3 linked regions of the Struthio camelus genome follow. The protein of the gene in region 3 binds, or shares a complex with, the protein of the main gene of each other region. Links are inferred from orthologs where the notes say so. Each region holds a gene or a part of one and is shown on either strand. Other genes may lie near its edges.

What was found.
Region 1: the proteins of RGS7 (region 3) and GPR158 are in contact, whole or in part, in a cryo-EM structure (PDB 7SHF), measured with the Homo sapiens proteins. The link is inferred for Struthio camelus from reciprocal best matches to the Homo sapiens genes RGS7 and GPR158. Residues at the interface, in NP_001351815.1 of Homo sapiens: Gln35, Ile43, Ser55, Arg109, Phe110, Thr112, Pro113, Tyr114, Phe115, Lys134, Thr136, Lys140, Ala141, Arg142, Leu143, Leu145, Ala146, Asp147, Ala150, Leu153, Gln157, Trp164, Phe168, Met169, Gln170, Glu172, Ala173, Gln174, Lys176, Val177; in NP_065803.2 of Homo sapiens: Leu507, Lys508, Phe510, Leu511, Arg513, Thr514, Tyr595, Tyr598, Ala599, Thr602, Val603, Pro604, Ile714, Arg715, Leu718, Lys719, Tyr722, Leu725, Glu726, Tyr728, Lys729, Arg730, Met733, Ile734, Thr735, Asn736, Asn737.
Region 2: the proteins of RGS7 (region 3) and GNB5 are in contact, whole or in part, in a cryo-EM structure (PDB 7EWP), measured with the Homo sapiens proteins. The link is inferred for Struthio camelus from reciprocal best matches to the Homo sapiens genes RGS7 and GNB5. Residues at the interface, in NP_001351815.1 of Homo sapiens: Pro19, Leu22, Val23, Lys26, Val30, Ile72, Val76, Glu77, His80, Leu81, Leu84, His88, Val207, Asp213, Ile214, Lys215, Lys216, Leu258, Gln261, Ile262, Trp265, Gln266, Gln268, Leu269, Arg271, His272, Arg273, Leu274, Lys275, Met276; in NP_057278.2 of Homo sapiens: Leu57, Glu60, Ala61, Glu62, Leu64, Lys65, Leu68, Glu71, Lys74, Leu75, His76, Asp77, Val78, Glu79, Leu80, Val83, Leu90, Phe93, Arg98, Arg99, Leu109, Lys117, Arg118, Ser134, Phe135, Trp149, Met151, Leu167, Tyr197, Ser206.

What each region holds. Positions count from the first base shown.
Region 1 is NC_090943.1:20,055,621-20,065,951, forward strand, and holds the start of GPR158 (metabotropic glycine receptor), read right to left. Parts: upstream 4,240-10,331; 5' UTR 4,051-4,239; coding exon 3,179-4,050; intron 1-3,178. UniProt on the Homo sapiens protein: Metabotropic receptor for glycine that controls synapse formation and function in the brain. Acts as an atypical G-protein coupled receptor that recruits and regulates the RGS7-GNB5 complex instead of activating G proteins.
Region 2 is NC_090953.1:14,914,360-14,924,701, forward strand, and holds the start of GNB5 (guanine nucleotide-binding protein subunit beta-5), read right to left. Parts: upstream 4,321-10,342; 5' UTR 4,100-4,320; coding exon 3,988-4,099; intron 1-3,987. UniProt on the Homo sapiens protein: Enhances GTPase-activating protein (GAP) activity of regulator of G protein signaling (RGS) proteins, such as RGS7 and RGS9, hence involved in the termination of the signaling initiated by the G protein coupled receptors (GPCRs) by accelerating the GTP hydrolysis on the G-alpha subunits, thereby promoting their inactivation.
Region 3 is NC_090944.1:97,341,352-97,351,760, forward strand, and holds the start of RGS7 (regulator of G-protein signaling 7), read right to left. Parts: upstream 5,020-10,409; 5' UTR 4,970-5,019; exon of another isoform or gene 4,597-4,969; intron 3,489-4,596; 5' UTR 3,455-3,488; coding exon 3,377-3,454; intron 1-3,376. UniProt on the Homo sapiens protein: GTPase activator component of the RGS7-GNB5 complex that regulates G protein-coupled receptor signaling cascades.

The sequences.
Region 1 (10,331 bases), on a different chromosome or scaffold from region 3:
TCTCTACAGAGGCACGCTTCCTATGACACAGGTCAGAGTGCTGAGCCGTATAATAATATAGACCTGCTAGGTTGCAGATTCCACCTGCAGACTGCAAAGAACAACGTTTTGGCTTTTGGTTGCATTTTTAGAATGCCATTGAGAGCAGCATCACAACAGTGACAAGTATTGAATAAAACCAGCAGTAACTATCAGTCTTTCCTCCATTAAACTTTTTCTGACTACACCATGTGACACATCCATCTGTTACTGCAATGGAAGATATACCAAAAAGTAGATGCAATGGCTTTTCCTTCTATAAACTGAAAAAAACTCTTCCATCAAGAAAAGTAGTGTATGAATGTCTCTTGCCCTAGCATATTATGCAATAAACCTCATGCCAGTGAAGAAGAAGGTACATAAACTGTTAGAGGAATATTAAAGGACCATGCACTATACTATCAATGATCTCATGCCAGACTATTAAATGGAAGGAGCATGCTAATGCTTCAGTTTACACGCTCCTAACAGATGGCTCAGAGACATTTTGTTGGGAGAATCAACATAGCTTTTTCAAAAGATGGAGACTAATACATACCACTTTTTACCATATGGGCCTTAAACAGGAATTGCAGATTTAAACCACTGTCTCACTCAAAACCAGATGGCAAAGTGAAATAAAACCTATTTTGAGAGGCATCTTAGCATGATTAATACTAATGTTCTAATGACTCCATTTGATTTTTCATTTGATTTTACGTTTTTATATTTGAATCCATTTCTTCTTTTAGGAACTCACACTGAGGCTTGGGCTGCCTAATTGTGCCCTACTGAGTATGGAAAATATTCTGCAAATATTTAAGCAAATTGGGATTAAAAAAAACATCCTACGAGTCTTCAAGGAGGTTTATTTGATTTTCAATATTTTCTATACAGCTGTAAAGTTACTTTTTTTCCCCAAAATCCCAAATAATAGTTTCCTGTGAACTTTTACTACAAGGCCACCTTCCATGCAACGTACCTCAGACAAGGAGCACAGAAACCATCACTTGGCCTTGCCAAAGCAAGCATATGGGTACTACTTCTACCTCCTTCCTTATACAGTGACCTAAAACATATTGCCTCATTTCTTAGAAATGCTTACCATACCTGGTTTCATCTCTGGTTTTGATACAGCAAAACTTAGTTTTGTCTTAACTCTTAAGTAGCTTCAAAATCAAAATATTTGAAGCAGCGCTTCAAATTTGCTGTGTGTCTCATTGCAAGAGCTTCTAAATGAAGAAAGGATCTCCAAACCTAGGCATGCTTAGTGGATGTCCCTGAAAGCATTTGATTTACAACAGGTTAATTAGTATACTTTGTCAAGTGATTCCCATATGGTAAAGAGAGGCCGGGAAGACCACGAAGTAAAGGACTTTGTACCAGGACCAGGAGGACCTCTACTGGTTGGCTTGTGTGACCAGTTGGCTTGTCCTCCAAAATGGTCCTGGCACCTTGCGTGCACTGGACAGAGCTACTACAGTGGAAAACATCACCAAGATGCTTTCTGCATCACAGGATCTTGGCACAGAGCTGAGGTTGAAGCTTTAGATTCTGTTGCTTAAGACCTGCTCTTGTTTTGACTGAAGTCAACAGCAAAGCTTCTTTGAGTTAAGCTTTATATGAAGATCTAAGTTCTCAGATAGGCTGGGGGTGGGGCAGCAGTCTCCAATCAGCTGGCAGTGCTTGAGGTTAAGTAAACGTATACCCAACAAGATAATGCCATGCTACAGTAGCATTCATCTGCACCCAGAAGTTCATCACCCGTAAAACACTGCTTTGCAAAAACTATGAGAAGTTTCCTGAACTTTTCTATGACCAGACTATGGTCCAGAGAAGTTCAGAAACGCAATTCCTCTTGATTTTTGCTCGAGAGGAATTCACCACCACCTTCAACATGACGTCATTTTACCCTAATCCTACCAGCCTCCACAAGTGTGGAAATTGTACCATTCTGTAGGGAGATAAGGAGCCACTTTCTAATCAACAGATTTCCCCCCACCCCCCGCAAGGATGCATAACTGCATTCATACCTGTTTGATCCCACTGGATTTCAGATGAAGCCAAGAAAACCAATGCTCATATAGGTGACTGCCTGGCCACCTAGGTCCACTGAAATCCATTCAGTTTTGCTGTGTTCTTGTCTATATTCACCCACCACTGCATCCCACTACAGAACAAAATCAGTGCTCATCTCTTATTCCCTGGAAAATACTGACTACCTTAGGGCAGTGGACAATCCTCAATAAACAGAATTATCCACGACCCCCACTACAAAAGTTCTGGCGCAAAAATACAAAATCCCGCCCAAAGAGTAAGTACAACCCATCCACTACAAGTTCTTTGCTGCTAAAATAACAGGACATGAGACTGGGCCTTTTCATATCCTCCTCTTCACTAGTCGCAGCCCAGTGGCTAAATCCTGGGGGTAACAGTAGTAAAAAACAAGCACCTTTACATATGCCAGGCACCAACTATACAAGAGGGCCATAATAGTTTTGGGGGGAGGGGGGAGTCCCTATAGACAATACCTTAAGAAAATCCTTCCTATTACCAGTTTAGGCTGTAACCATATGCAGTATGGTAGAACTGCATAACATACATTTACCTACAGATACATCGACCAGGCTTGAGCCCCCCTCAGCAGATGTGCTCTGGAGATCAACAACTGCAGTTTACAGTACAATAATATTGTTTCCCAGCTGGTTAAAGTCATAGCTGGGGTTACGCCAGTTTTAATTATGCAGTGTAGTAAGAAACGTTTGCCGATGCGTTATCTTCCTCTTACAATCAGAAATAAACTAAAACCGGCAACTCCTGCTCTCCTCTCCCCACAGGAGCACATTAGCAACATAACCCACATGCACACCTTTTCCAGTGAGAGCAATTAAAGAACATAGCGTTTTACAGACTAAAATAAAAGCAATTCTTTCACTGAGCAACAGCTCCCCAAGACACACCAAGGTAAAGCTCAACAGGAAGGCCATACCCCAAGGAAAGCCTTGTGCCCCCTGTGGCGACACTGAGCAGCCAGTCTGGAGAGGGCCGATCAGGTCACTCCAGAGACACAGCTCACCCCCTCTGAAAGGGGCTCAGAAGTGGAAACGCCATTCAACCCGCTTCCGAAGAGGAAACGGAGAGAGAGGAGCGCAACTCTTACCTGAATTCGGGGAACAGGTTTGGTCGTAGTCCATAGAAAGCTGCCGAGAGAGTCACTAACCAGCCGGGTTTGTAATTCCCATTCTCACACTCCAGGAAAGGTGACGACCACCTGATGTGGTTCTTATCAGCAGTGAAGCTCTCTCGCCTCTTCCAGCTGTTCTCCAAAGTTTTGGGGCCCGTGTTTAGGGCCTTCCTGTGCAGATGCGGCCTCCACTTGCGCTTCAAGCTGTGGAACCACTCGGTCTCCACGGAGGCGTTCGCCAGGCGGTGAGCCGAGGAGGACAAGTCTTGCAGGAGGATCTGGCTCTCGTGCCTGCTGGCCTGCAGGAAAACTTGGGGGGTGGAGGAGAAAGGCTCCGTGCTGAAAGTGATAGCTGCCTTGGAGATGTTGGGGTCCCCCTCCAGGAGGCTCCTGATCAAGGCTTGGTACCACTCCAGGTCCTCCTGGAAGTTCTGCTCCCGCGACTTATTGCTCTGGAGGATCATGTTGAGGAAGTTGGTGGCGTGGGTGAGGGTGTCCAGGGCGCCGTGCAAGGAGGGGTGCGAGGCGAAGCGCGACTTGCCGGCCAGGCTGGCCAGCTCGTACCTGCCAGAGCAGTTGGCACGCCGCAGCTCCCGCGAGTCACCCGTGTAGAGGAACGAGGCCACGTCCTGGGGCACCTCCTCGGCCAGCCGCTGCGCCAAGATGGTGCTCTCCGTGGAGCGGCTCCGCGGAGCCGGGGGAGGATCCCGGCTCTTGATGTGGTTGTGAACAGGCTGCTTCCCTCGAAGTGCCCGCTCTCGGCCGTGCCCCGCCTGCCCTTGGCCGGCGGCGGCCCCCAGCCCCGGCTGGGCGAGGAGCAAGAGGAGAAGGAGCCGGAGCAAAGCCATGTCCCCCGGCGCTCTGGTCGCGCAGGCAGGGCGAAGTCACTCAAGATGGGCTGTGCATATGCAGCCGCGGCGCAGCGGAGCCAACGCGCACAGCAGCAGCTGAGCGGCGGTCGCAGGGCGGAAAACAACCCGCAGCGCCCGCGTCACCTGTGGCGGGGCCGCCGCCGGCCCTGCCCGGCGCGGCGCGGCTCGCAGCCCCTGCGCCGGCAGCAGCAGCAGCCGCCGCCCGGCGCCCGCGCGTGGCTCGGCTCGTCCCCGCCGCGGCCACCGCGCTCACTGAGGGGCCGCCGCGCGGCGCGCGCAGAGGCAGGGGCGGCGGCGCCCGCGCCCGGCGCAGCGGCGGATCCCCCCGCGGCGCCCCGCCGCCGCCCGCCCTCCGCCGCTCCGCATCCTCCCGGCGCCGCCGCCCGGGCAGGGGGCCGGCAGCGCGCCTCGGCCGTTACTCGCCGGCACGGGGGAGCGGGGGGGGGGGTGACCGGGGCGATGCGGGCAGCGCTGCTCTGGGCGCCCGCTCAAAAGAGCGCTGGGGTCGCCGAGCGGGACACGGACCCCCGCCCGGCCCGGGAGGGAGGCTGCCAGCCAGGGGGCTCCGCCACCGCCAGCCCCTCACTGCCGGGCGCCCCTTCCCCGCCGGCCCTTATAGGTGTACGCGAGGCAGCTGCCGCCCTGTGTGGCCGCCTCGCCTGTCAGTCAGCCGGCAGCCACTCACGGGGCGGGAGGAAGGCGCCGTACGGGGCGGAGGGAGGCGGTGCCACCGCCCGCAGGCGTCGAGGCACCTCGCTTCACCTGGCCCCGGCCCTGCCGAGCCACCCGCCACATCGGCAGCCGCTGCGCGCCGGGCCGCGGAGAGGCGCGGAGCGGAGTGGAGCCGGCTGGGCTGGGCTGCCCACCCACCCACCGGCCGCGGGGTCCCCGCTAGCCGCCCCGCGGCGCCGCGGCCCCGGCTCGCCCTGGGGGAGGGGAACAGCGACACCTGCCGGCCGGGCCGCGGCGGCGCGGTCAGCGGCGCCTACGTGCCGCGGGGGCCCGGCGGGAGCCGCGGGCGGCGGCCGCGGCGGTGCGGGGAGGAGGGGGGGGGGAACCGCGACGCTAAAAATCCCGGCGCCTCCCACTCCGCCCGGGAGGGACGGGAGAAGCCCACCGTTGGGCGGAAGGCAGCTACGGCTCGAGGCGAGGCGTGTGGGCTAGCTGCTGTCACGGGAGCGGCGCCTTGTCGCGCGGCGGGACTGTCCTTGGCGCCTGTGGCGGGGCCGGGGTGCAGGCCTCGGCCCCGCTCGCTCGCCCACCCGCCCCGGGACCGGCCTTGCGCTGTGAAGCAACAGCTTCAACTTCTGGGGGCTCAGAGCTCGCGGCCCTGATGGGAGTCTCAGCTCCAGCTCCGGCGGGTGCTGCCGCCTTTCTCGCCCACGTCGCGCGCAGCCCCACGCGGAAACGCCGTCCCGCAGCGCTACTCGCCCGCACGGAGCGTTGCCCCCTGTGCTTACAGCTGAACCGCTGCGGTGTCCCTTCATCTACAGTGAATGACCAGCTAATTGTATTTCTGTAACGCTGATCCTCCTTGCTTTCCGTGGTGTTTTGTCTTTTTTTTTTTTTTTAGCTCCGCAGTTCCAATTCCTACTTCTGTCTTCAAAATTAAGCACTTAATCCAGGGGTTTTCCGTGCTGTGACCAGCAGAGCACTTGCTCCTAGTCCAAGCAGACCTGACAGATCACCTAGCTATCGTGTTTTGCTGAAAAATTAGCCTTTGGAAAGACCCAAATGTATTGAGGGTGTAATTAAAATTAAAATTGTCCGTGTAAGCCATCAGTTATGGGGCTGTCGTGATCAGCTGAGCAAAGCGTTAAAGCACATGCTTAACTTTGTACATTTTCTCTGATGGAAGTATTTACCTGGTTGATATCTTATTATTGGATTAAGAATTGATGACAGGAGGCAGATTGCAAAGTGCAAATTTTTAAGGAGATCATCCACAACAAAATCACTTAAATACAGTTAATTTCATTGTGGCTTAATCTAAAACTCCCTTTCAGTATTGAAGAGTACAGATGAAAAGAGTAGTAGAGAATCGATTTTTTCCTCTCTCTCTCCCACACACGTGTGCGTGCACATCCTTTGAGCAGGTTTCAGTCATGCAGAATATTCGATCTAATTTTAAACCACTGACAAGATATGTGTGCTCCTTAAAGCATAGTCTTATTTTAGAATAATTTGAAACTATACTTAAAGGAAGAGTCTTTCTAATATAGCTAAATGTTAATTAAACCTGTAGTCCATATATCCTAGTAATGTAACACACTTCATCCTTGCTGTGGTTCACCTTTAACAATTATTTTCACCTAGGTTGTTGGTAAGGGAGAAAATTAGAAATATTTTAAATTTTTTTCTCATTGTATGCAATGAAAGATCATATTCACTGCTTAAGACTATTCACTTAATAATGAACTCTCATGCAAGTGAATATCCTTCAAGATTATTTAGAAACTGCATATACTGAGCAACTCGGAAACTGGTGTTTACACTTTAGCACAGCACAGGCAGTCAGTGCTTCAAAGTCTGCACTGAGCAAATACCTAAAGTTGCATTGTTCCGCTATGGATAAGTGAGAAACCGCTTTTGAAAGGAGCAGCTGTCAGGGCTCAGCTAAGCCAACATGGGATAAGTAGCATGGTGAGCTATCAATGGCAATGTAAATAAACAAGCATTTTTTTTAACAGTGCCTGTGCTGATTTCCCTTCCTGTCACAGACTGCTCTAAAGGAAAGGTCAGCTGCCTGATGGGCATTCACTTCTCCCATTGCACCCTGACTTATATCTCTGTAAATTGTGCTAGGCTTGCTAAATGGCCTACTTCACATCTTCTTTTGGCAACCAAATATCCCTTAATGTACGTACACAGTACGTTCATTCAGTCTGCTGATCTCTCCCAAATACCCTCCCCCAGCGGTATCCAGCCCCCTTTTCCTTCAGGGACAGCACAAAGGTTGTTCTTATCACAAAGGTTTGCCAGGAACAAGGAACCAAATGGGTTAGAGCATAACTCCTGCCACTGCGTTATCTGTCCTTCGTTTTCCTGTTCCCTCGGTTTGCAGCGGTTGGGTCTTCTGCCTTGCCAAGTCACAGAGGAGGATGAGAGGCTAGCTGGAGAACTTTCGCACTGACCGGGCCTGGCCTGTGGTTCTGCCTTGCAAAGCTGCATCACAGAGGGTTCAAGGAGCCTTCATCCTCTGCAGCTTCCTCCTACAGCCAGTTCAGACCTGCTCCCAGGTAGCTATTGCATGCAGGCCAAGGCCAAAACAAGATTCAAGCAGGTTTTAAGCCATTGCCAATGTGCACCTACTTACACCTTTGTAAAAAGTATGCTGCAGGAACCAAAGCATAGCATTCATTGCCCAGACCCAAGACATTGGCAATATGGAAAGATTGTGTCCTCTTAGATTATGAAAAACTACTAAAAAATTATTCACATGATATTACTAAGGAATGGGATGTAGGAACCTTAAATTATTTTTTATTATTTTAGTATTAAAATGCACTGATAAGTCTAGCCTGTCGTTTGTAATTGGTTGACTGTGTTAGAAATCTGTTCATGTGTGACTGTTCAATGTGAAAATGGACTTGGAGTCCTCGAGATACAGGATCACTGTGGCTGAATGATGTTTCCTGGGCTTCTGCCTCAGTTCTCCCACCAGCACTGCTTCAAGCCATCCAGCAATGAGGAATCAAGATGCATCTGATCACTGTCCTTCGCATTTCTGAATCATGACAACTATCACAAATGTTGCATGCAAAATAGCTGTAGATAAAGGGTGTTGATTGACTGTATTACCTGTCAGACTGTAAGTCTCCAATTAGCTCATGCCACATGAGCTCAGCCTGAGTCTAATTACGGTGTAGAAAAAATAGCATGTTAGTGGTTTTTAATAGTTCACAGTAACTGTAACCTTCTTTCTCCAAATTTTGACCTATACGTAAGACCTTAGTTTGTCTGAACTATTTGAAAGGTTAGAAGTGTCAGAACTGTTGCATTGTTAAGACCATTTGGAGCAAAGGAAAGACTATTTGTAGCTGTGAAATTAAAAAACTCAGATTTTTATTTATTTTTATCCTAAGCTATTTATTGAATATGCAGGGAGCATACGCAATAAAGTAAGAGCTGAAACTTTGAGAATAATACATTATATTCTTCTGGAAAAACAGAAATGTTTATTAAACTCATCACTTATGTATTAAAAATACATTAAATGTAAAGTTGGGCTTTTTAAAAAATAAAAGCACATTTACTTTTAGCTTTATTTCCTAAGGACATGATGTTCTGACAATCATATTTTTGTCTGTCTGTTGGGTCCCCCTGTCTGCCAGTAATTTCTAATGCCATTAGCTGATTTCAGCCAAATTTTACTAAAGTGTGAAGATCTCAAACTAAGTTTCTACAAATTTAGTGAAAATCACAAATGAATCAAAGAAAGAAGCTCAAGTTAGTTTTTGCACTCAGGGGAAAGTTGCAGAGTGAGTTTGACTGTTACATGTTCTCTTTGGCCTTTCATTTGACCACTCATATTAGCCAATAAACATAAATGTACCCTAAAACATCTACAGCTTGTTCTGCTTCCTCCCCACCCAGTAGACAAGGAACAGAGGATGTGGCTGAAGGCTAGGGAATTCAAAAAGACAAGGGAAAACTGGATAAAATGTTGGTAGTGGACACAGCACTGTGAGATTTTAATGTACAATGCATAGAGGATATGAGGGCTGGGAGAACTGCTAGGTTTATTGCAGTGGAGGGCTGGCATGATAGTGAACACAAATCCACTAGCCAGGCTTCATTAGTTCTGTTGCTTCCACTCACAAATGAATCAAAAGCACCACCCAGTTTTTTTCGGGAAAAAAAGAACTATGAAATAGCCAAAATGCAGAGTACAAAGGTTCTTGCTGGAAAACAATAAGAGCAGCAAGACCTTACCTGTCAACTACTGATCACGTAGAATGAGAACTTCAGAGCAATCAGTGTAGCTGATAGCCCTGTGAATGTATCATCTGTTCTTAGGACATGAAGAAAATTTCATTACAATCCCAGTAAAACACTTGCAAAGCTGAACTAGGCCAGATATGTTTACACACCAAATTAAAAATAAATTATGCATATTATCTATGAAATGGCAAATGATACTTCTATCAAAAACTCTTTTAAAAGTTTGTTTCCTTTGATATTTTCTCAGAAATGTTGGAATAGAAGGAACCACAAGGAGACTGCCTCGTGCAGCACTCCTGCGTGGAGGCAGGATGACATACGTCAAGACCATCCCTAGCAGACGTTTATCTACCTTTCTCTCAAAGAACTTCTGGTCCAGAGGACTCCACCGCTGCCCTACTTACCTTGTCCCAGGCTTTCATTGCCTTAGCATCAACTATGGGGTGAGGGCATTCCTGTAACATGGTCAAAGTCTTCTTTACTGTCTTTGGTTCTCTGCTTTCTTCGTGCAGCACAGGCACCACGCACTTGTGTCTATCTGCAAAAGATTGCTTTGACTTACTTCTTTTTCTCTTTTCCTTAGGGTAAATAAATCAAATTTCCTAACAGGCTCTGTTTTCTAAAACTGTCTCTGGTCCTGCGGTTGTCTCCTTGATGTTCTGTTTTGTTAGGCTATTTCTTTGGGTGTTCCAGGTAAGGCCTTCTGCTATAGAATAGTTACTTTCTGCAAGTTACATAAAATTCTCTGTTAACATACCGACTTTGAGATTTGCCTACTTTTTCACCTTCACTACAGTATTGACCAGTACTTGAGTGTGTAATCTACTGTAATTCTCATAACCTTTCAAAATGTGTTGCTTTCTAGTTATCCATTATCTGTTTTTATTTGAGGATTTGATGTCTCCTTCCTCTGGGTAGTACTTTGCACTTGTCTTTGTTGAATTTTCTTTTACTGACTTTGGACCATTTCTCTGATTTTTCAGGATTATCTTTAATTCCAGTCCTGTTCTTGAAAATGCTTTTAACTATCTCCTTGTCTGTTGTGGTGATTTGCTGATTTTATGAGCACACCCTTTATTTCATTATCCAATGTGTTCATTATTTGTTCATTAATATATTTAATAGAATGAAGCTGAGATCAGACCTCTGCAGAAAACTACCTGAAACATCCTCCCGGTTTGATAGTGCATGGCTAATACTTACTTTTTGAGAAAGACTTTTGAGGCAACTGCTTACCCACTTCATGACCCACCTACATAATACTTCCTTAGCTTGCTTATGAAAGCCTCATGCTAAATATGTAAGAAAAGTTA
Region 2 (10,342 bases), on a different chromosome or scaffold from region 3:
ACTAACTCAGGGTTGTTGCAGCTGAACCTCTCACAAACTATCATACCCAAGCATAGCTAGAAAATATTTGACCCAGCCCCCTTCTGCCCTCTTACTCGGAAATCTTCAGTCTGACTGAGGCGTGAAAGAGCATGTCCAGCCTAACACGTGCCCAGTGGTACTCAAGTAGGGGGGAAGACAGCTACTGGGTCATGGAGGGAAAGTCACAGAAAAGAAGGGGCGAGCACCAAATCTCCAAGGTTTTCACAGTAAGACCCTTGTTCTGGGTGTGAGTCCCAGGCACACGGCAGCTAGGATGGCTGTTGGCACTGCAGGCTGCTCTGCAGTGGCATCGGGGAAGGCCTCTGGCTGGCAGGGCACGGCTCCGAGTGAGCTGAGAAGCTCAATGCTCTCTTACAGAGTGCACTGCCCGACTTCCAAACAGCGTCTACAGGCCTTGAAGACCTTCTTGGGTAGGTCAGCATTTTCTTTTATGAGAAAGAAACAGAGAGGGCAGGCAAGCAGCTTTCCTGAGTAACAACCTCTGCAGGAGAAGTTAGTTATTTCATATCTCATTTAATAGCAGTACTTTCAGCTGATATGCTGACTCCTTCCCCTCCCCCCACCCCAATTTCCAATTGTGCAAACTCACTTTGATGTAAAATTCACTCCACTGCAGCAGACACAACTTAGGCTGCCTCACGCTGGGATCATTTGTGCACATCTGGGGAAAGCACCATCTGAGGAAACTAGTTTGCCCGGCTCCCTTGCTGTTGATTCAATGTGGAGCTGAGCAGGGGCACAATATGTCCTGGTGCCCACGGCAGCTCCGACTGCTCTAACACACCTCACATGAAGCACACACATGAAGTGCAGAAGTTGCCTCAAGTTTCAGAGCAGAGGAGAGGTCCTGGGGCAGGGGCTGGAGACGCTGGCACCAGAATTTAAAATGACTCATTCCAGAGAGGAGCTAACAGGATCCAGCCCTTCGCTCTGTGGTGCGCTTGTCCACACTAAAACCTAAGGTGACACAGCTGCTGTTAGCTAAAGGGCCAATGCCTGACCCAAACCATTTGAAATGAAGTCAGAAGCTTAAATGCTCTAACAAGCCGGTGGAGGAAAGCTTAAGCTTTCCAGCACAGCGCTGCAGACTGAGCTCTCGCCCCGCCTGGCAGGTGACTGCTCCAGAGCGATGTTGCTGCGTCACACCTTTGTCACTTTTCTAGAGCTGCTACAAGAAAGCTCACGGGCTGGAAAGCGCCGTCACAGCAAAAGAACAGACATCCTTAACGTTATTTGAGATTATTCCCTGGCGTAGGGTCAGGCGAGCAATTTCTGCTTAAATCAGAGATTGATTTCTAATGAACTAGCTTTTCCATAGATGTTCTCCAAAAATGCCAGCCCTGCAAACCGTGTCAGCATAAGGCTCTCACCTGAAATCTCTGCTCTTCTACTCACTCAGCCAGGGGACAAGTGCTATCCACCGTTCCTGTCCATTAAAGAATCATCTTTAACAGGGGTCAGGAGCAAGGAAAAAGGTCTGAGAAAGTACCATATAAGCCCACTGAGGAAAAGATACATTTTCCTTCTCCCTTTGCCCACTGAACCCTGCTAAATGATCCAATCGAAAGACCTGAAAAGAGTGGATAGGAGGTTATTGTGGCAGCTGGAAAGATGTTTGTCTCTAGAAAATATCTGAAAAAACAAACGTTCCACAGACAATAGGCAGTGTTTCCATTATGTCAAAGCAACCTAGACTCTGTGGAACTGTCTATTTTAGCTTTACTGATTCTCTGAGGACGCTTATCTCCAACCACAGCCATAATAACCTTCCACCCGCCTAGCACAGATTTTGGAATCAGATAATCTTTTTGAAGCATTCTCCAATAGTTTCAAAACAGTGTTAAAAATTATGCACTTGGGGAAGCAGATCAGCTAATGTCAACAAGTAACTCGAGTAGTTTTACAAAGGTCCAGATAAAACAGATTATTTTTCTAAAACATATGGTTTGGCCTGAACAGAAATTGTGGACTTGCTGCAGACAATATTGGGTATTGGTCTTTGATCTTTTCTGCTTCAGAAGTCAGCTGGTCCTAACGGTCCCTTCTGGCCTTAAAAATCTATGGATCACATTAACAAAAGAAGCTGCTTTTTCTATACCTGAAATTCTAAGTGATAGAAGTGTATCCTTAAAATCGTAGGATTGCAAATCAAATGTATTTTGCTATTTGCTCTTTCCATCCGCATTTTTGAGAGCTGCAGTTCAAAACCAGTTGAACAAATAAGGACAGTCCTAATTCAGCTGGTTGTTTGTTTTGGAAACCATGGAGGAAAACCATGATCAGACTAAAAAAATGTCAAAGATATAATTTTAGATGGGGGTGGGGGGGGAAACAAGAAAGAAATGCTTTATTCTGGAACTTCTAACCTCTATAGAAATAGCTCTTGGGAACAATTTATGTGTCCAAAAGCTTTGATCAATGATATAAAATATCATGAGGGACCACTGTTCTGCAGTAGTGTAAGACTTTTGCCTTAGAAATCACGTCATGGATAAGTAAATACAGTCTTCCAATATAATTTTACAGATTTCACATATGACTGAAAGACGTAAATATCCTATGACTGCCTACCATGACACGCACAGTTATAGTATCACTGCAATCGTAGATAAAACTCTGCTTTCCTGATCAGATTGGATTTAAGCATATGCTTAAGTGGTCTGTTGAACAGAGACCTCGTTACTTCTGGAATAGAAATTACATTCATTACATAGGATTATGATAATTTTCAGTAACATTTATGTAATGAAGCCATCTCCATTTATTTAATGATTTCTATTAAGAGAACACTGATATAGCACATGATTATCCAATTTAAACAAGAAAATGCTTTATTTACTCTAGAAACAAATCTCTTTTAACATCCTCCCCCCCAAAAAATTTAGGAATATTTGCTTCGGTCTTAGGAAACATTGACATCTAAATCACTAGACACAGACTCACATTCCCTTTCAATATTTAAGGCATCAAAATGGAAGAAATAAAAGTTGTAATGACCTACTAAAATTGCTAATAAAACGAGCCATAGGATTTCAGAGGAATACAGAAATTTACACACATCTTCTCAAAAAAGAATTTCAATGCGTCATCGCAATTATAAAAATGAAATAATCAAAATAAAAAGCATTTTTGTGCCTCAGGTGATTTTGCATCTCAGGCGACTGCATATGTATTTGAGGAGTTCTATAAAAATAAGGTTAACTTATTTTTATCCTGCATCGGAGGCAGGGGAGGCTGAACTCTCTGTCCACGTTAACCTTGCATCCTGAAACTGCAGCTGGTAACAGCGAGCTAAGCAGCGGCCGCTGGAGGATGGGCTCACCTTGCCCCTCTGACCCAGCCCCGGCTCGCTGTACGCTGTTTCCCTAGGGGGAAGAGGAAGCAGTGCACCTTTTTGAGCCATACACCTTGGGTGAAATCCTGGCCTCGTTGAAGTAAACTCCCACCAGCTCGCACAAGGCGAGGCTTAACCTCTCTTTCTCCTACTACGACGCGCGCTACAGCGAAGCAGATCAACCGCAGAACGCCCTGGGCGAAACACGTCCCGTCCCGTCCCGTCCCGCCTCCTCCCGCCCCCCCCGGCTGCTGCGGACGGGGCAGCCCGGCACCTGCCCCGCTTCCGGCCGGCCCTCCGCCTCCTCCGCAGGGGCCGAGAGGCCGCCGAGGCCGGGCTGCCTGCCTGCGCCCTGCCGGCCGCGGCGCCCCGGCGTAGCCTGGAGGGCCCCTCGCGCCTTCAGCAACCACGGGACCACCGAGCGGCCCGACAGGAGGGGCCCTGCCCGCCTCCCGCTGCAGAGCGGGACACCTCCGTTTGCCGGGCGGCCAGGCAGAGCCCGACTGCCTCGGCGCGGGGGACTGCACCCCGCCTCAGGGCAGCAGGGCCGTACGCCTTCCTGCAGCAGCGGGCCCCTCGGCGCGCCCGGCCAGCCCCGGGGGGCCACTCACGTTCCACGTCGTGCAGCTTGGCCCTCTCCTCCTCCAGCTTGCCCTTCAGGCTCTCGGCCTCGTTCTTCAGCGACGCCAAGGTCTCGTTCTCCTGCAGCCCCTCGGTTGCCATCTTTGCAAAGGAAGCAGGGAGGGAGAAAAGGAGCGAGAGGCAGGGAGGAGGAGTTTGATCGCCTGGCTTCCAGGGATGCTGCTGAGGCTCCCGCTGCCTGAGCAGCTGAGCCGGACCGGACTCCCGCCCCCTGCCCACGCTGACGTCCAAGGCCAGAGCGGAGGCTCCGCTCGCCGTGCCGGCGGCCAGCGCCCGCCTGCGCGGCCCCTTCCCCCACCGCAGGCCCCGCCAGAGCGGGCAGCGCCGGCCCGGCCCGGCCCGGCCCGGCCCGGCCCGCGAGCTGGCCTCGCCTGGCTCCTGCCGCGGCTGCACCCACGCAGCCCGCGCGGCTGCAGGCTTCCACAGCAAATGGCTGCTGGGCAGCACAAGCCATTCGCACAGGCCGGCGGTTTCACTTCCCCACATAAACGTGCAAAAGAACACACAGGTTTCTGCTTGGAACCAAAATTGCTTTGTGCCAAGAGGTTGCACACGCTGTGGGGGAAGGAGGAAAAAAACCTTATCCTTTATAAACCTCAAGGCATTTTAAAATGTCACACTGGGAAGACAGGTCCTGTCCAGGCTTAGCAAGTCACAACTCAGTCCGTCCTTCCCTCACACCCGACAGGTAGGGGCTGACCAGGACGCTCAGGTACCCGGAAGGTCTCTGACCCAGACCCTGTCCCAGTACGACAGACGTGGTGGTGTGAACTCTTCTCTCTACTAGGCTTTGAAGCCCTTGTTTTTAAATCATCTGCTATCACTTTTTCTCTTTTTTTTCTTTTTTCTTTTTTTATTTAACCAATTGCCTCTTTACCCTGCACACAGATATATGCACGTTAGGGTCTGCAGCCTTGAAATGGGCCAGTATTAAACATCCAAACAGAATGAGGAATCCTTCACTTTGGTGTTAGCATGAACCCGGAGCAGCGCTCCAGCTCTGGCTGCATGCAGTCACGTCATGACCGCTGGGCGCGCTGGGCAGCTCACGTTTCTAGAGACTGAGCCCGCAGCAAATGGACCTGCAGCTTTTTGTTCCCTGGAAGGGGAGTTCCTTGAAAAAGTCCTCTTCTTTTTATAGTAATTGTCCTTGATCTACATGGAGTAATTCTGCTAATATTGACTCCCATTGTCTCCCTTTAGCCAGAAAATAGACAACCCAAAAGCCTATTGTTCAACCTGGAGACGTTCCCAGAGCAGAAAGTGAGATATGAAAATAAGCATTTGCAGCTGTTGTTTAGACTCTGGGCACATCCTGGACACAGTACCGGGTCCCGGAGAAAATCAAGTCCTTTCCCACACTGGGTTTAGCAGTAGTGCCACTGTCAGCTGGGATGCACAGCAGAGCTCCTGAGCTTTTCAGTGTGCAGGCTGAATTCAAGCCTTGGTCTGATCTTGTGCTTTCTTAGTCAATGTATCTGCAAACAGGAGCTGGGTTATTTACCTGGAGAGTCAAAAGCAGTGGATACATTTCCAGTCTTCATATTGTCCACAGAAACTGGTATGACTTAACCACGTCAGCCTGATGGCTGTGTAGGCAACCCTGAACTTATTTTGATCCAATTATGTTCAGTATCACAAAAGAAAAAAGCGATAGTGTAATCTATAGAGTTCACATACTGCTAAATATGGCAACATTCTCCAACGCAAACAGCACTTTGCAAATCTTCTCTAACGCACTGGCAGTGCCAAAGAAGTAAAAATTCAGTATCCTCTAACTCAGGCCAGAACAACAAAAAAAGCATCATGAAGCAGGAAAATGTCAGGAAGCTCCTAGCATGTTATCTTCATGTCTGAAAAATTAAATCCGTTTACATTAAATTCCATAATGTAGCTTTTCTGTGTCCTAAGGGCGTGGCAGGGGAAGATTTTGAAGAAGAAATGTGATTTTTTGAAGGAGTTTCATCTATGATGAACATCCTACTTCTGACACCTGATAAGCGTGAAGAGATCCAGAAGTCAAATCCAACAGAATCTATGAGAATTTTATTTGCCTTAATAGGAACCCATCAGCTCTAAGGAATTTGTCGCTGTGATAATGTTTGTATGTCAGATGGCTGGCACAGTAATGACAGTGAAAGGTCCAGACTTTCTTGCTTTACTGATGTGAGCAGTCTCACTGCCTTGGGGAATGGCATTAAAAAGTTCTGTGAAGAAGGATATAGAAGGTGTGAGTCTTTGGAAACCACACGTGTTCAGACTGAGCCTTGATATCAGTCCCAAGATGACAGGGATGAACAGAACCATGAGATGAAAGGGAAGTCTCTACTGAACAGAGTGAATCTTAAAAGTGTGTGACATATAACATACATTTCATTGGTCTGAGTAAAATAGAAAGTATTTAGTTCACCTAACCAGCTGCTTAACTACCAATGCAGTCATTAGCTAACCATGCAAAAACTACAGGTGAGAGCAAGGCCATTTGGGAGCTTTAAATAAAATGAACCAGGCTTGGATTAATTTAGAGAATAATATAGTACCAGGGCAACTACCAAAAAAAAAAAAAAAAAAAGGTAGAGCAAGAATGTTACCATTTAGTAAACAATGCTTAAATCAAGCTTTTTTGTTTCTCCCTTTTCATAAAATCTAATCATGCTCAAGGCAATGTACTTTTAACAATGCATGAGCAATTACTCAAAATAGTAATTATAAATACTGAATAACTTGTGAACACAATGTTAGAATTCATTATGCTGAAGATGGTTTAATCTGAAATGGCAGATCCACCTGCAGCAGTGGATAAAATATAGTTCCTCTTAACTTGGACTCTGCAGAGTGCTTTGAGATGGGTTTCAAAACAGGTCAGCGCAGGCCAAATGTCTGTGAAATCGTCCTCTGCAGGAGGTATGGTATGTGGACTCTATGGGAAAGAGGTAAGTAACTGAACTGTGCTATATAATGATACCATCCATTAACAATGCAATAACAACTGGTGCATAAAAGTGTTTGTTGCTGCGGCCTTATACTGACCACCAGCGTTCCCTGGAAAACTGACGGCTTCCAAACTAGCTGCTATGTCCTCAATGGCAATGAGCCTCCAAGCTTCCCAAAACAAGGACAGCTTCTTATAAGATGCCTTTTGTCTCTGATCACTCCCAACAAAGCAAAGGCAAGCTGACTCTTGGCTTCATATATTTTGAGAATAATCATCAATTGCAACCACTCTGGAGTAGTCAGCTTTCTACACAGCATTACTCTGTGGAGCTGCTACAGAAGAAAAAGCACTCTATCACCAAGAATTGTGGCAAAACCAAGAGTTACTGCAATTGTAAACTACCTTTCAAACCTGACAAACAAACCAGATTGCAGTGACTGGGAAGCATGCAAGAAAGTTGGTACTGTTCTATTATTAAGGACATAAGGGAAAAAGGAGGGTGCGACACAACAGTGCGACACAAATTGTTGCCCATCTCAAAAGGCAGGTTTAAAAAGTTTTCAGTCTCACTAATTCACCAGCTAATCTGTTGTAGGATAATTTACTAATACTTTCTGTGGATATTAAAACAGCAAACGCTTACTGACTGCATTAGCGTTTCTACTGATTAGCATCTATCTCCAAAACTGGTAAAACTCCAAAGGAAAAAGATGATTTTGTCTAAAAGGCAACTCATCGAAGCAAGACAATCTCAAAACTGGGACGTGAATTCCTGAAGCATGCGTTGGTTTGGGGGAAATCACAAGAACTGCCTGATAAAAATGCATATGTGCAGCTGAGTCCCACCTGCATCTGAAATTAAGAGTTACCTGTGGAATCAAGTAGTTGCAGAAGGACCAGCCCACTACACATTATACTATGCACATGCATTCACAAACACCCGCAAAGGCACGGCAAGGACATATTGCGCATTTTGATACTAGTAGCCAAAGCATACTCACAGCTCTGAAAGGCTAGTTCCAGAAGGTGAAGGACCTAACTTCCCTACCTATATGCATTTCAGTGCTAATGCAAAGAGATCTTTAAGTATTTGTTTTAAAATCTCTTTTTCAAAATAAATATGAAGGAGAAAGCTGAAGCCAGACCTACCAGAAAGTCCAAGATACTATTTTGGTGCTAACAGGAAGCCTAACAGACTGTTAGACGCTGAGGTAATTCTTCCTGAGCCCTCTTTTTCTTCCACTCAATAGCTGCTTCTGTTGGTAGAAGCCTACCTTCTATAACATGGAAGGCAGAGAAAGGAAAGAGGAGAAAGCTGCAGGAACTGTAAACAACAAAGTTTCCTGCAATTCCAGTATGCATTTATCAAGTCACGCAAAAATTTACTGGATACATAGCTATTTATAGGCTGTTGGCCAAGAAGGACCTGAACAAAACAGTAGTTTCAAAGTCAAGAGAAGCAAATGAATAGAGAAGGGACTGTCTTTTGTCTTGCAGTCGTTTTATCTAAATTTCCTTCTAAACAATGTAACATATGAGAACGTGCTGTGTCAGTCACTGAACTGTACACATTGCACCATTTATGACCACCAAATCAGTGCTCTCATCTGCCCATCGTACAATGTTTTCTAAACACAGCTGGTTAAACCTTTCAATATTCCTGCAGAGATCATTTGATCTGACACTCAAATGCAACAAACTGTTGGACACTGCTCAGTAACAGTACAGACCGGTTCCGGGGAGGAAGCAATGAAGGATGTCTTCTCTAACTGATAATACACAATGGTTCAGGAAGAATAAAATTACTCCAAGTTGGAGTATAACCAGGACAAAAACATTCCTAAGTCTACAAAAGGAGTTTTGGAGACCAGCTCTTCAGTGGCCACGCAGGTTCATGACCTTAGCTTTGTATTTCATCTAAAAAACAGTGACCTCACTGGGACAGTGTTCCCTGCCAGAAGAGTGGGATATTGCCTCACCAGTAATTGTTGGAGCTTAGAAAGCCTCCAGCATATCTCTATCTCGTGCAGGTATTCTAGTAGGACATGTCGGTCAGGTTAGCAGGTTTGCTAATATTCCCCATTACCACCTTCTTGGGTGGTCCACAGACATGTAAACAGAAGAGCCTGATCTACCATGCAACAGCCTCTTCCTGCATTATCTTCATTGCAGATACCTCCTGCTCTCAAAGATCCCTCACCCAGCTACTGCACATGGCATGCAAGACAACATGGTCTCAGTATGACATGCAGACTCTGAAGGAATTCCGAGAGCACATGAACAGGCCCAGTTTTACTGAGCTAGCCTAAACCAACTTTATAGCCCCTAGTCTCGAGTTAATCAGTTTATTGCCATGGTTTCATCTTGTGTTAAGTTCTGTTGAAGGTAACGGGCAACACTCAAGATCACAGGCCCAGCATTTACTTCAGGGCAGAGTTAGCTAGGCATGTAACATTTACGCAGCAGTACCCTAGGGGGAAAAGCTTGTGGTCATTTTGCAGTCAGGAATCAAAAAGGTATCACTGAGCACAGAGCCCCCTCTGTTCCAGGCTCAGGGAATTAACATCAGGTGCTTACAATCAGGTTTATTTGGATTAGAAGCAGGCAACCTTTCTGCCTACTGAAGCCTGTTTGCTGCCCAGAAAAATCCAACAAAACAGAATATTGATACGTCAACCCCTATTTTTATCAGTATTTTCACATTCTCACTGATAAAATCAACAACGTACCATTTCCACACATAGCGAGCAGAAGCTGAGTTGTTCTGATTTGATGTAAACAGGCCTAAGTGGTTTCTCTTTGGAGCACTTGTCACACGGACCAAATACAATCGCTAGAAAGGTCTGGTCGCACATCTTTGCGGTGTGGTAGGGCTGAAAGAGACAAAGAAGAAAGCAAGCATGCATTCCAGTCTAATGCAAAGCTTCCTGGTGTTTCTTGGGAAATGCATCTTAGACTGCCTATAGACATCTGTAGGCTGGATAATCTCTCTCTGAGACTAATCATTAAAGCTTGATGAACTGTGACTATATGCAAGACAGTCACAAGCATATGCTCCGAAGATTTTATTTTTATCAAGAAAAGTAGGTGGGAGAACTTTTTGTTATAACGTGCAGCATTAATTCACTACGTGCAAGAATTAACTCTTAGTTTTTACTTAACTGATGCCAGCAGACTGTAACCAGACAATACATAACAATGAGCTAGATTTCTGAGAAGTCAGCACTGATAAATATTTACTGTTTTCCCATTGCATTATTATACAGTCAATAGTATGTATTATTTTTAAAACTGGAAAGACAGCCTAGGATTCAGTCAGCAGCTACAAAAATATTGTGAACAATGCATTACTTGAGCAGAAATTGATGTTTCATCACATTGAAAGCTGG
Region 3 (10,409 bases):
AACTATGTGTCATATTTCATTATTTAATAATTATGCTGATAGTCAAAAAAGAATAACGCAACTGACACTCTATTAAAATAAAAAGTATTCCCTAAGGCATAACAACACTGACATGCAAGCATCTTAAGAGGCAGTGTAAAAATGATATAAGGAGCTATTTATCTGTACTACTGTCTTTTCCATCAAATAAGTTGGTTATTTATGCACTGAATATTTAATTAAAATAGTTTATGCTGAATTTTTAAAAAATATTTCAGATCTGAAAGCAAAACACAATGAAACCCTCTTTGTCTATGAATAGGAGCTACTTTGAGAAAAAAATGCTATCTATATTGTACCATCCTAGGTTACAAGGTCTTCTTCCTTTTTTTTTCAGACAAACCACTTTCTTCAATCCTCAGAATGAGAAATTAACTAGAAATCAACCACATATTTAAAAAAAAAAAAAGGAAAGAAAGAACAACATTGCTTGTCAAAAGTTTTCAACCTAAAAAAGTGCAATGACTATGATTCAAGCCTTAAATATTGAATTTGCAAACCCTAAATCTTTGTAATAACACAGATTTGGATCAGATTTCTGATTTCAAGCATTATCTATTCCTTCCAGGCACATTTACCACAAAATGTGTGCTACTTTATGTGTTGATGTTGTATAAACCACTGGGAGAAAGCATTTCAGCATTTGTATATTTGAGCAATGAGATTTAAGATTTCAAATTTAGTTTCCTTCTGAAGCCAGCCAATATCATATTTACGTACTTTTTTACTAACAACTATTAATATTTTTTCAATTGGCCAAAAAAAAAAAAAAAGTCCTTCACGAAGCTGACAGATCTAGTTCTTTGTTCACTCAGCACAGAGCTTTCATTCCTAACACAATGACAGATAGAGAAGTATTGTGTTTTCAAACGTATTACAAGAAATCTTGTGATGTAGTTGTTGCTAATAAAGAACTATATTCAGAGATAATATATTCTGAATTGAAATGATTTCTACCTAATTAATCTTTTCTTATGTTCTAGACACAGAAGCTATAATACGTTTGATTACAGCCGTACCAGAAGGTAGGTAGGTGACTTTTAAATACGTTAGCTATTATTTTGTTGCCTATTCCTCAAATAGTGCTAAAGGAAGAAGTATTTAAAGTTTTCTCCCAGTAATCTAACATCTGTCTGCACAATATTTAATGATCCTTTTGTCTTACCTTCCTATAGGAATAAGTTAAGATCGATAAAAATAAATATTACTGGTAATATTGTAGAAGGTCAGCGTTCTTCGTAAACGTAAGAGTCCGCAAACCACTTGCACTTTAAGAATGACGACAACAAAATAAGGGCCCTTGCTAAACTGAAAGACACAAGCAGGTACCATCCCTGTATCTTTGATCTCCGCAGAAGTGAGAAGGTGTTTGATGCTCTGATCCTGCTAAGCATACAGCTGGAGTTTTGTATCCTGCCCTCACTCCCAGTTTCAAAATTCCCCTGATTCATCAGGGTTCATGTCACTTATCTCAAAAGTTTCCTTTGAATCTGGAGGCTGCTCAGGGACAACGTTAAACTGGGGCATGAGTTCACACTAAACATAATGGGTCACAAGCTTGGCCAGCTCCTCAGACCACGATACCACAGGAGAAGACAAACACAGTTTCTCGACATTCTTCCTCTGTATACTAAAGTAGTAAAGAAGAGGGTTCCTTCTCAGTACAGAAAATGATAAATAAAAACTGTTTTGAAAGATCAAAAGCCTTAAATGTACAACTAAGTTTTGGTATGTTGTGTTTAAATATGCAGCATATTTTGACCCATTCATTCATGCACAAAATTTCATTTTGAAACACACTCATGATGTTAATGGCAAGATGACCCCGTATTATTCTAGATGTGCATTCTTATACATACGGATACAAAGGTTAAGTTATTAAATTCCTTTCTAATCACTTCCATAAAGATGGCCTAATTTTTCAAAATAGCAAATACCATTAGAATTCACTGAAATCATCATCGTATTTGAAAACATGGAATAGCAGAAGCATACATCAGACTTCAATTAGAGACAATTTTATAATTTCTGGGAAAAAAGACTTACCACAATTAATGACGACAACTCAGTTCACCTCACATCAATTTGTCTTACTATCCAAGTTGTGTTAAGACTCAATTGAGTATATATCAGATGTTTTCTGTTACAGCTAACTTGCAAAAATAAAAGTCAATGCCTCTAACAAAATATAAGTATTATTTTTCCACCTGATAAAAACAACCATAAACAAGTTAAAAAGCACAGAACTCTAGGAATAAACAAGTAGTTACATAATAACATATTTCAGTTTGTAAGAGTAGTTATCTTTCTCCATTATCACTAGAATTTATTTTGTTATTCTTTTTTGATAAATGCAATTAAAGTTTTATCAAAATAAACACAACTGCCAAGTTTAAAAAAAGTATCAACCCACCTCAAAATCCCCAAGCATTTACTGTCACTTAAATGAAAGCACAGTGGCTAAATAAACCCCATTACTGGAGTTCAATGTCTGGAAATTTGTATATCGATGCTACTAAAATAACTACATTAAAAATCCTTTTGCAGAGAGAATCCCGGGAGTGCATGGTTTTTCTTAAGTTCTGGTGATTGCAGAGAAGTAATACCTTTAATCTGTTTTTCCCCTCATATGAAACAAGTTAACGGTGCCGACTTTCCTGCACTCTGAGAATCTCTATCCAAAGAAATACAAGATATTGTAACACGTAGCTAATATTCAGTTTTAAAATATTTGAATCCATTTTAAAGATAGATGTTACCAGGGAGGACTTGTTAAAAAAACATACAGAAAAACCCCAAAAACTCAAAATGCTTTTTCAGTCTCTGATACATCACCACCACCATTGCATCCCATATGCATCAATGCAGAAAGTGAATAAAATACATCAAGTAGTACAGAAGAGAGTTATCGTGTAGACATTTCAGATAACATAAGAGAATGTTTAAACAAATTCAAACCCAACTGTTGCTGAACATGATGTGAAGTTGACACATGCATGTGTGCTTTAACAATCAGAACATTCAGAACAACAAATCCAATAATTTCTTTTTTAAGAAGTCTATAAAGTAACTCAGATACAGATCTACTTTTCACATGCCATTTAAATTGCATTAGTAACATATATATCAACAGATACAAAATGTTCCAAATTTGTATCAGATAATCATGTTCTGAAATCACATCTCTACATTCATGGTAAAGCACAGCAGCAGCATCTCTTCAGGAAGGGGGACAGAAACAGTAAAAATAATGGCCTTTCTTGCTAGGCAAAAGATTCAGGACTTAAACCATTTTCTGATGTCCCTTCCTCAGATTTTGCAAAACACAAAGGCTTACCTTTCTGTACACCAGCATGTTTGGGGATTCATCAGCCACCCCATTGCTGCTTTGCCCATAATTATTTCCTTGCGCCATGTCCCACGATTTTGATCCGCTTTTGAACGTTGCACTGTGAAAGGTAAAAGTGGTCTTCATAAGACACCACCTCAGATCTCCTGCCTTCACTGCTGATTAATGGACCTGACTTTCTACTAACAGGTTATCACAATCAGTGTATACTTTCTTCACCACATATTTACACTGGGGCAAAGCAGCTTATTCACTATTCACTGTTATTACTCTCTTCTGCATGCAAATAATGAATGCATGTAAAACGTTAATCTAATTTAGACTTTAATGAATTGCCACTCCACATAGCTCCCTGACATACCACTAACCACTGTATCATGCAGGCATCTTGTCACAAAGCACTCTTTCCTCCTCTACACAGGCTGCACCAATGGATATTGTGCACCTTCCAAACCACAGTTTTCAACTGGCTGATTTGGCCCGTGACCGTGTTCAACACTGTCCTCTCCTCACGGTTCAGGTCATAGAGACTTTCATAACACACAAACACACAAAAAGCAAACCAGCTGCTTTGAACTTTATTTGCCAGCATATCTGTACTCTTACACATATGCCAAGAGGGAGGCAGGCAGGTAGACGGAAGGAAGGGAAGAAACAAGCTAGAAGATCTTGCTGGTTGCTTTCACCTACTTTCATTCTAGTTCACTGCAAAAAACCAGCTCCGCCGCCAGGCCCGGCTCCTCTCCGCCCTCCCCCCGGTCACACGGGAGCTGCGCTAAGCAAGAGCTCAGATCATGCCGTAGCTCCGGCTTTGCACGCAGGTGTAAGAATGTGCTCCATCCACCGACCACACCGGCGCGGCTGCGGAGAGCCTGGAAGGCTGAGCTCTCGTCCAAACATTTCCTCCGAAGCCCTCCCCTGTCCCCCCCTCCCCAGGCCTCCAGGCTGCGGGCTTAACTGCAGCGTGCCCGCCACGCCGGCTCGCCCTGCCCTGCACGCGCAGTGCGCGCCTCTCGGCACCGAATGGCAGCGCGAACCGGCTCGCCCCGCAGGCAGCGCGGCGCGGCGCGGCTCCGCTCCCGCGATTTCAGCACCGCGGACAGCGGCGGCGCCGCCCGGGGCGCTCCCGGCGGCGCCCTCTCCTCGGCCGGGCGGGGGCGCGGAGCGGCGCGGAGCTCACCGCGGGGCTCCCCGCCCCGCTCATTTACCTCCCGGGCCAAGGTCACTGCGCGGTGGCCGCGGCTCCTCGCCTCCTCCCGCCGCTCCTGGCGCGCCCCGCGCCGTCCGTGTCAGCCGGCAGCAGGCGGAGGGACGCGGCGATCGCTCATCACACACGCGCGCGCGCAGGCACACGCACGCACACGGACACACGCGCACTGCGGGCGGAGGCGCTGCCGCCGCCGCCGCCGCCGAGGCTGCGGCTCCCCCCAGCTCTGCCGGAGCGGCGGCAGCTCAGCTCCCTCCCCGCAATGGAGCGGCTGTCACGTGGGGGACAGGCACGTCAAAGGTGCTGCTGCCGCTCCGCCACGCAGCAGCCCTCCTCCTCCTCCTGCTCCTGCTCGCCGCTCTCGGCTCGCTCACCGAAAACAGCGGCCAAGGAACTGCAGCTGCCTGCAGATCTGGCAGCAGCCCCTGTAAATGAGATTAGGCAGCACTGGAGGACTGGGCAGGAAGAGAATGTGGGCTAATGGGATAGGGAAGGAGGCGGAGGGAGGGGGATAAAAGAGACGGGTGTGGAAAGTGTGTCTCCTCCTCGTTTTTACGCCTTTTACCAACACCAGCAGGGAATCTGCCTGCTCCTCTGCCCTACGCTGGACATTTCACGTTTTTCTTTTTTTTTTTTCCAGGGAGAACGAGAGAGCTTGAGTCGTGCTGGCACTGCGGACCACTTTGAGCAGTAGAAAAGAGAGACCAGAGAGCAAGTCTGTTCCAGGCTGATAGGAAGGAGCTCTCTAGATACCCTTGGGGCTGTTTTGCTACATCCCAAGTAACTGCTTAATTTGCCACGGCCTGGAGCTTACCATGATGAAATTAAAAATTAGGCATGTAAATCATACTTCCTCACCGTATAGGGACAAGAATGCTTTGATTTTCCAGAAGTGCTGAAATGTCTTGAACTCAACATCCACAAGAACAGGAGATACTTCAGTGGTAAGCCATCAGATATTCCCATTTGAAAGTGTCTTTTCTAGAAACAGTAACTCTTATTACAAGGATGATCTCGCAAAAGAAGTCATTTTGGGGGACAATACCTTCTACCATGCATTGCACCTCACGGAGCGTGCCCTGGCAGAATCACTGCAATTCAAGCTCAGAAGTCTCCATACGTACTGTCTCAGGCTCTTTCTGCCTTCCTCACATCCCAAAGAAACCTCAAATCAACTCTATCTTGCTAGAAGTTACCTATCAAAACTACCATTTTCCAAATTTTGCAGAGGCGTTCAGATCCTTTACCAGAGGAGATGATAAATTAGACAAGCTGATGACAGTGAACCCCAGAAGCCAATGTAAAATAAGGGGGAGAGAATGATTGGACTTCTTGGCAAGTGGAGAAAGACAGAGGTTTGATAAAGGTCCCAGAGTGAGCACTAGAGACAACAGATGATCTCAAACGTGGACAGGAACGTCCTTGAGGGAGGGCAGAAGTAAATGGTGAAATGATCCAACAGAGTAAGAACCAGCAATTGAATTGAGTGGGATATATTGACAGTAAAGGAAAGAAGCTCTGTAGCAGAAAGTGCATGTCTAGACCTTTTCAGTGGAGAATAATTTGGTATGTCACAAGGAAAAGGTAAGTGGAATCAAACAGTCTGGATATAAGAGAAATCTGGAGTTCTGAGAGGGAAGAGAGATCAACACAGATGAAAGAGTTTGACAGTGCAAGAGGAAAGTAAAGGAAAAGAAGTACTGAGGTTGAAAATAGCAGGCAGAAACAAATATGGAACTAAAAAATAAACAGAGAACTGAGAAAAGGCTTGCTTCCCATGAAAAATCCACTCAGTGTATGGTAGCATTTTGACAGACCTAAGCAATGAATCTGAATCCAAATGTTAACTTTCAAAAGGTTTTTGCGCAGACTCTGGTGATTCAGTCCAGTCCACCACTGAGAATGGGTACCAGCAATAAAAATGTGGATCTATATTTCCCTAACTTTTGCATACATTTCCTAAGGAAGCAGTACTGCAGTGCTCGTTTACTACAGACTATGTGAGACTGACAGACGTACTGGAAGTCAAGGGGAACATACCTCTCAAGATCTGTTAAGAACATAAGTCACAGCCTTATAGCTGTGTGACCCCAAAACAAACTCAAAGTCTTATTTATCAGACTGCGGTTTACATTTCTTTCCGAGAGCAGAAATGGTGATTGCACAAGATATGCTTTAAATGCAATTTTACCCTAAAAGTGGGGTAGGAGGAAAATCACTAAAAATAGTGATGATACATATACATTCCTTCCATTTACTCTGCCAGCCAAAAATGACTGTATCTTAAAATAGCATATGCATTAAAGGGCACAGAAATCAAATGTTAGCAAGTTTCCAGTATAGTTCTAAGTTTGTTTTCTTACTTTACATCATCTTATTACTAATTCAAGTCAGAAAACTAGAGAAAAGGAAAGTCTTTTGTACTGCAGTTCTTGGAGTATGTACAAGAAGTAGCTTATGTTTTACAAGATGTCTTCAATCTAGCTATTTACTATAAGCTACGCAGCAAGTGAATTTTGGCAGGGGTTATGTGTCTTTGAAGAACTCCCCAGCAAAGCTTATTAGTTTAAGCAGCAGCATTTTCAAGTTCTTTACTTTCTGAGAATCTGTTCAAAACTAAAGGCAGAGGTATCTGAGTAAAGATTTTAGCTATACAGCTTCTAAAATTATCTTACTTTTTTGCTTTAAATATTCTGATTAATTTCACAAATCAAGTAAAATACAAAATGTTACATTAGTTAGGCAAAGTTGATTTTTTTTTCGAAAATAAATATATTTCCGCTATTAACTGAATATTGATCATCATAAATTAAGGTACAAAGTAAATTCAGTCAAGTACGCAGATAAAGTAACAATCTGGACCTCCTGAAGTCAATAGGTGTTTCTTCCACTAACATAAAGGTAACTGATTTCACACACAGTCTTTAATCTTGTATTCAGAACCAGAGGCTCAAACATCCCAATGGCGTGTCTCATAACTACAGGCTTCCTATGCTGAAGCACACTAAGGAGTCTTCCATTTCACCAGTATGTCCAGTATTAGAATGAGACAGAAGCTCTAACCTCTGCAATAGCTAAACATGAAAAAAAAAAAAAAACAAACCCACACCAGAAACAACCCAATAGAATTTCTTTCTGCTGGTGCTTTGTAATGAAACAGACCCTGGACTGGGCCGCTTCCACCCATATAAGAGAAAAGAAAGCTGTTTCATTATTTCTTTTAAAAAATATAATTTGATAACTTATTCTGATGCAGTTAGAAGAATCTACTCAATAGCCTATAAAAAGATAAAGATTCATAAATTAGTCACGTATCTTTCCCATGCTTGAGAGTCATCATCGCTTATCTCATACATAGCCAGTATTAGCTTCCCCAGAAAGCAGGGCCTGCCAAAAGAGGAATGTCCTGTTTCAAAACGCAAAGCAAAACTACTCATTAATAAAACAAAGAAGATAGCAAAGGCTGCCAAGGGGCAGTTTTATCTAACAAGGCCATAAAACACATATGATTTAGCAAGCTGGTAACTACACTTTTTGCATTTAGTTTGCACAGTCAATACAGCTAAAGTATTCCAAGAACATCATATGCGTGTGCCATACGTAACACATGGGCATGCAGTTTTAAATCAGAATATTATTTCTGGATATGTAGGACAACCTGTCTGGATGTGGAAGAGGGAATTTTTCAGTCTTGAAAAGTCCTACTAACCAGTGCTGTTATACTATGTTAATATGCTGCCTATATCCATCAAATTCCTCTTGTCTTATGCCTACACTGAGTGTTCCTTGGAGTAAAGACACATTATGAAAGCTCTCAGCACAGCATGGTCCTGGTCCATGACCAAGTCTTTAAAACATTATAGAATTATAAACAATCACATTCAAATTTATTGAAATAACACAGACATTCTAGTTAATTAGGCTCCAGACACTGACATGAGTTACTACTGTGCTGCCTTCAAGTATAAAACCCAGACTTTTTTCCTCCAGGCTAGTGAAGCACAGAATTAGGCTTTCTACTTTAATCGGACATATTTGTGATACCACATAACAGCAGCATTTCAATGCCAAGCTCTGAACTGGTAACTAAGATTCCAAGCTCAGTCCTTAGCCTTTCTGATGAGATTTGAAAACCTGCTCCTACAGAACTGAACTGTAATCCGTCCATTTAATATAGGTCTTTGAGTGTCATTTAGAAGATTACAAGTTATGGCACATAACTGCTAAAACTAAACCCAGGACTGTCTTAAAAACTTCACTCATTCCTTCAAGGCACATTTTTTAAGCCCTAGACATCTGTTTTTTCACATACCTGCCAACCTTATTGAAACTTTAATTACCTCTGGTGATTTATGATGATGAAGATCAAAGACACTTGCGCTCTGTTTTTTGGGGTAAAAGGTCAAAACATCAAAAAGTAGAGTTTTAGAAAAGAAAAGGTAATTAAATAGCAACCTATGTAGAAAGAGAAAAAAATGTAAAGTGAATCGATAAAACAGAAAAACAAAAACCCTAGAGTGTCATGGACAGACATAATTTCACAGGAATAGCAAAGTATTAGAAATAAGGAGAGCGCACACTTCCAAAATCTTTTCTGAAGTACGATATACATACACACACTATATATAGAGAGAGTATATCTATGTATATATAGAGTATGATTTATATATACATAAAACTTTAACTTCATATCCTACTGAAGACGTTAATTACTGCCACAGAATATCCACAGCTACTTACAATTTGATATCAATACACTGCCACCAGGACTACCCATGGGGATAAACAGCTTCTACTAGAGACAGGGGAGAGCAGCCTCAAGTACTTGCACTTTTAAGTCTTGACAATTAACCTGTTCTAATTAGAGCCAAAAGAGGGCAGTCTTTCTCAAAGAGAAAGAGGTTAATTAGCTATCTGATATACAATATCAATCAACACTAATATTCTTTCCAAAGAAATAACTATCATAATCAGCCATACACCTTCAATTACTCAGAAAGTGCTCACAGAATGACAAATATTACACCATATTCCCTTAAAACTGCCTGAAAAACGGAAGATTAATTTTTCCTGATCTTATATCTATATCTCCTACTGATATGAAATCAAGTAAGCATGTGACAATAGAACTGACCTCCAGCAAAAAGATGGTTTTTTGAACCTAGTTTAGATGTGATCATACCAGAATCCTCTCCAAATCTCAAAACTGCTCTTTGAGAGCTTTTCAATTTTGTGTAAAAGCATTATTGACAAAGAATGAACCTAGAGTCAGGGGAATGGGGCATTGGTCTCTGCTCTAGATAAACTATTTTAAATATGGGTGGATTGCTCTCAGCTTCTCCTGGTGCTTGGTGTTTACAACACTCTCCTGGAAGGCACAGATGAGAGATTTATATCCATATCTTAGGAGATGTTGCGTGCCTCACATAGGAGCGTCCCAACTACTGAACAACCGTATATGAGGTATGGGAAGAAAACATGGCAATTGTGCTTTTGTAAATTTAGCTATAATTCTTTTAGCTCAAGCTATAATATTAATTCAGTCTGACATTAACCTCATGTTACAAATATGTAGCCTTTTGTTAACTTTTTTGTGGCTAAAACCATAAAAAACTCCAACAAACCAGGTAACTAGCCCTTCCACTTCCCCGCTAAAGAAAATTTCTCAGGCCTGATCCACGGGACTGTGTTTACTCAGATCAAAATAGAAGCAGCCACCTATTAAGGACTGATTAGGAATAAGTCACAGATTTAAATTCCTCTGGCACGAGCATACTAGAGAAAGGGGGACGCGGAAGCACTACAAAGGCAGGG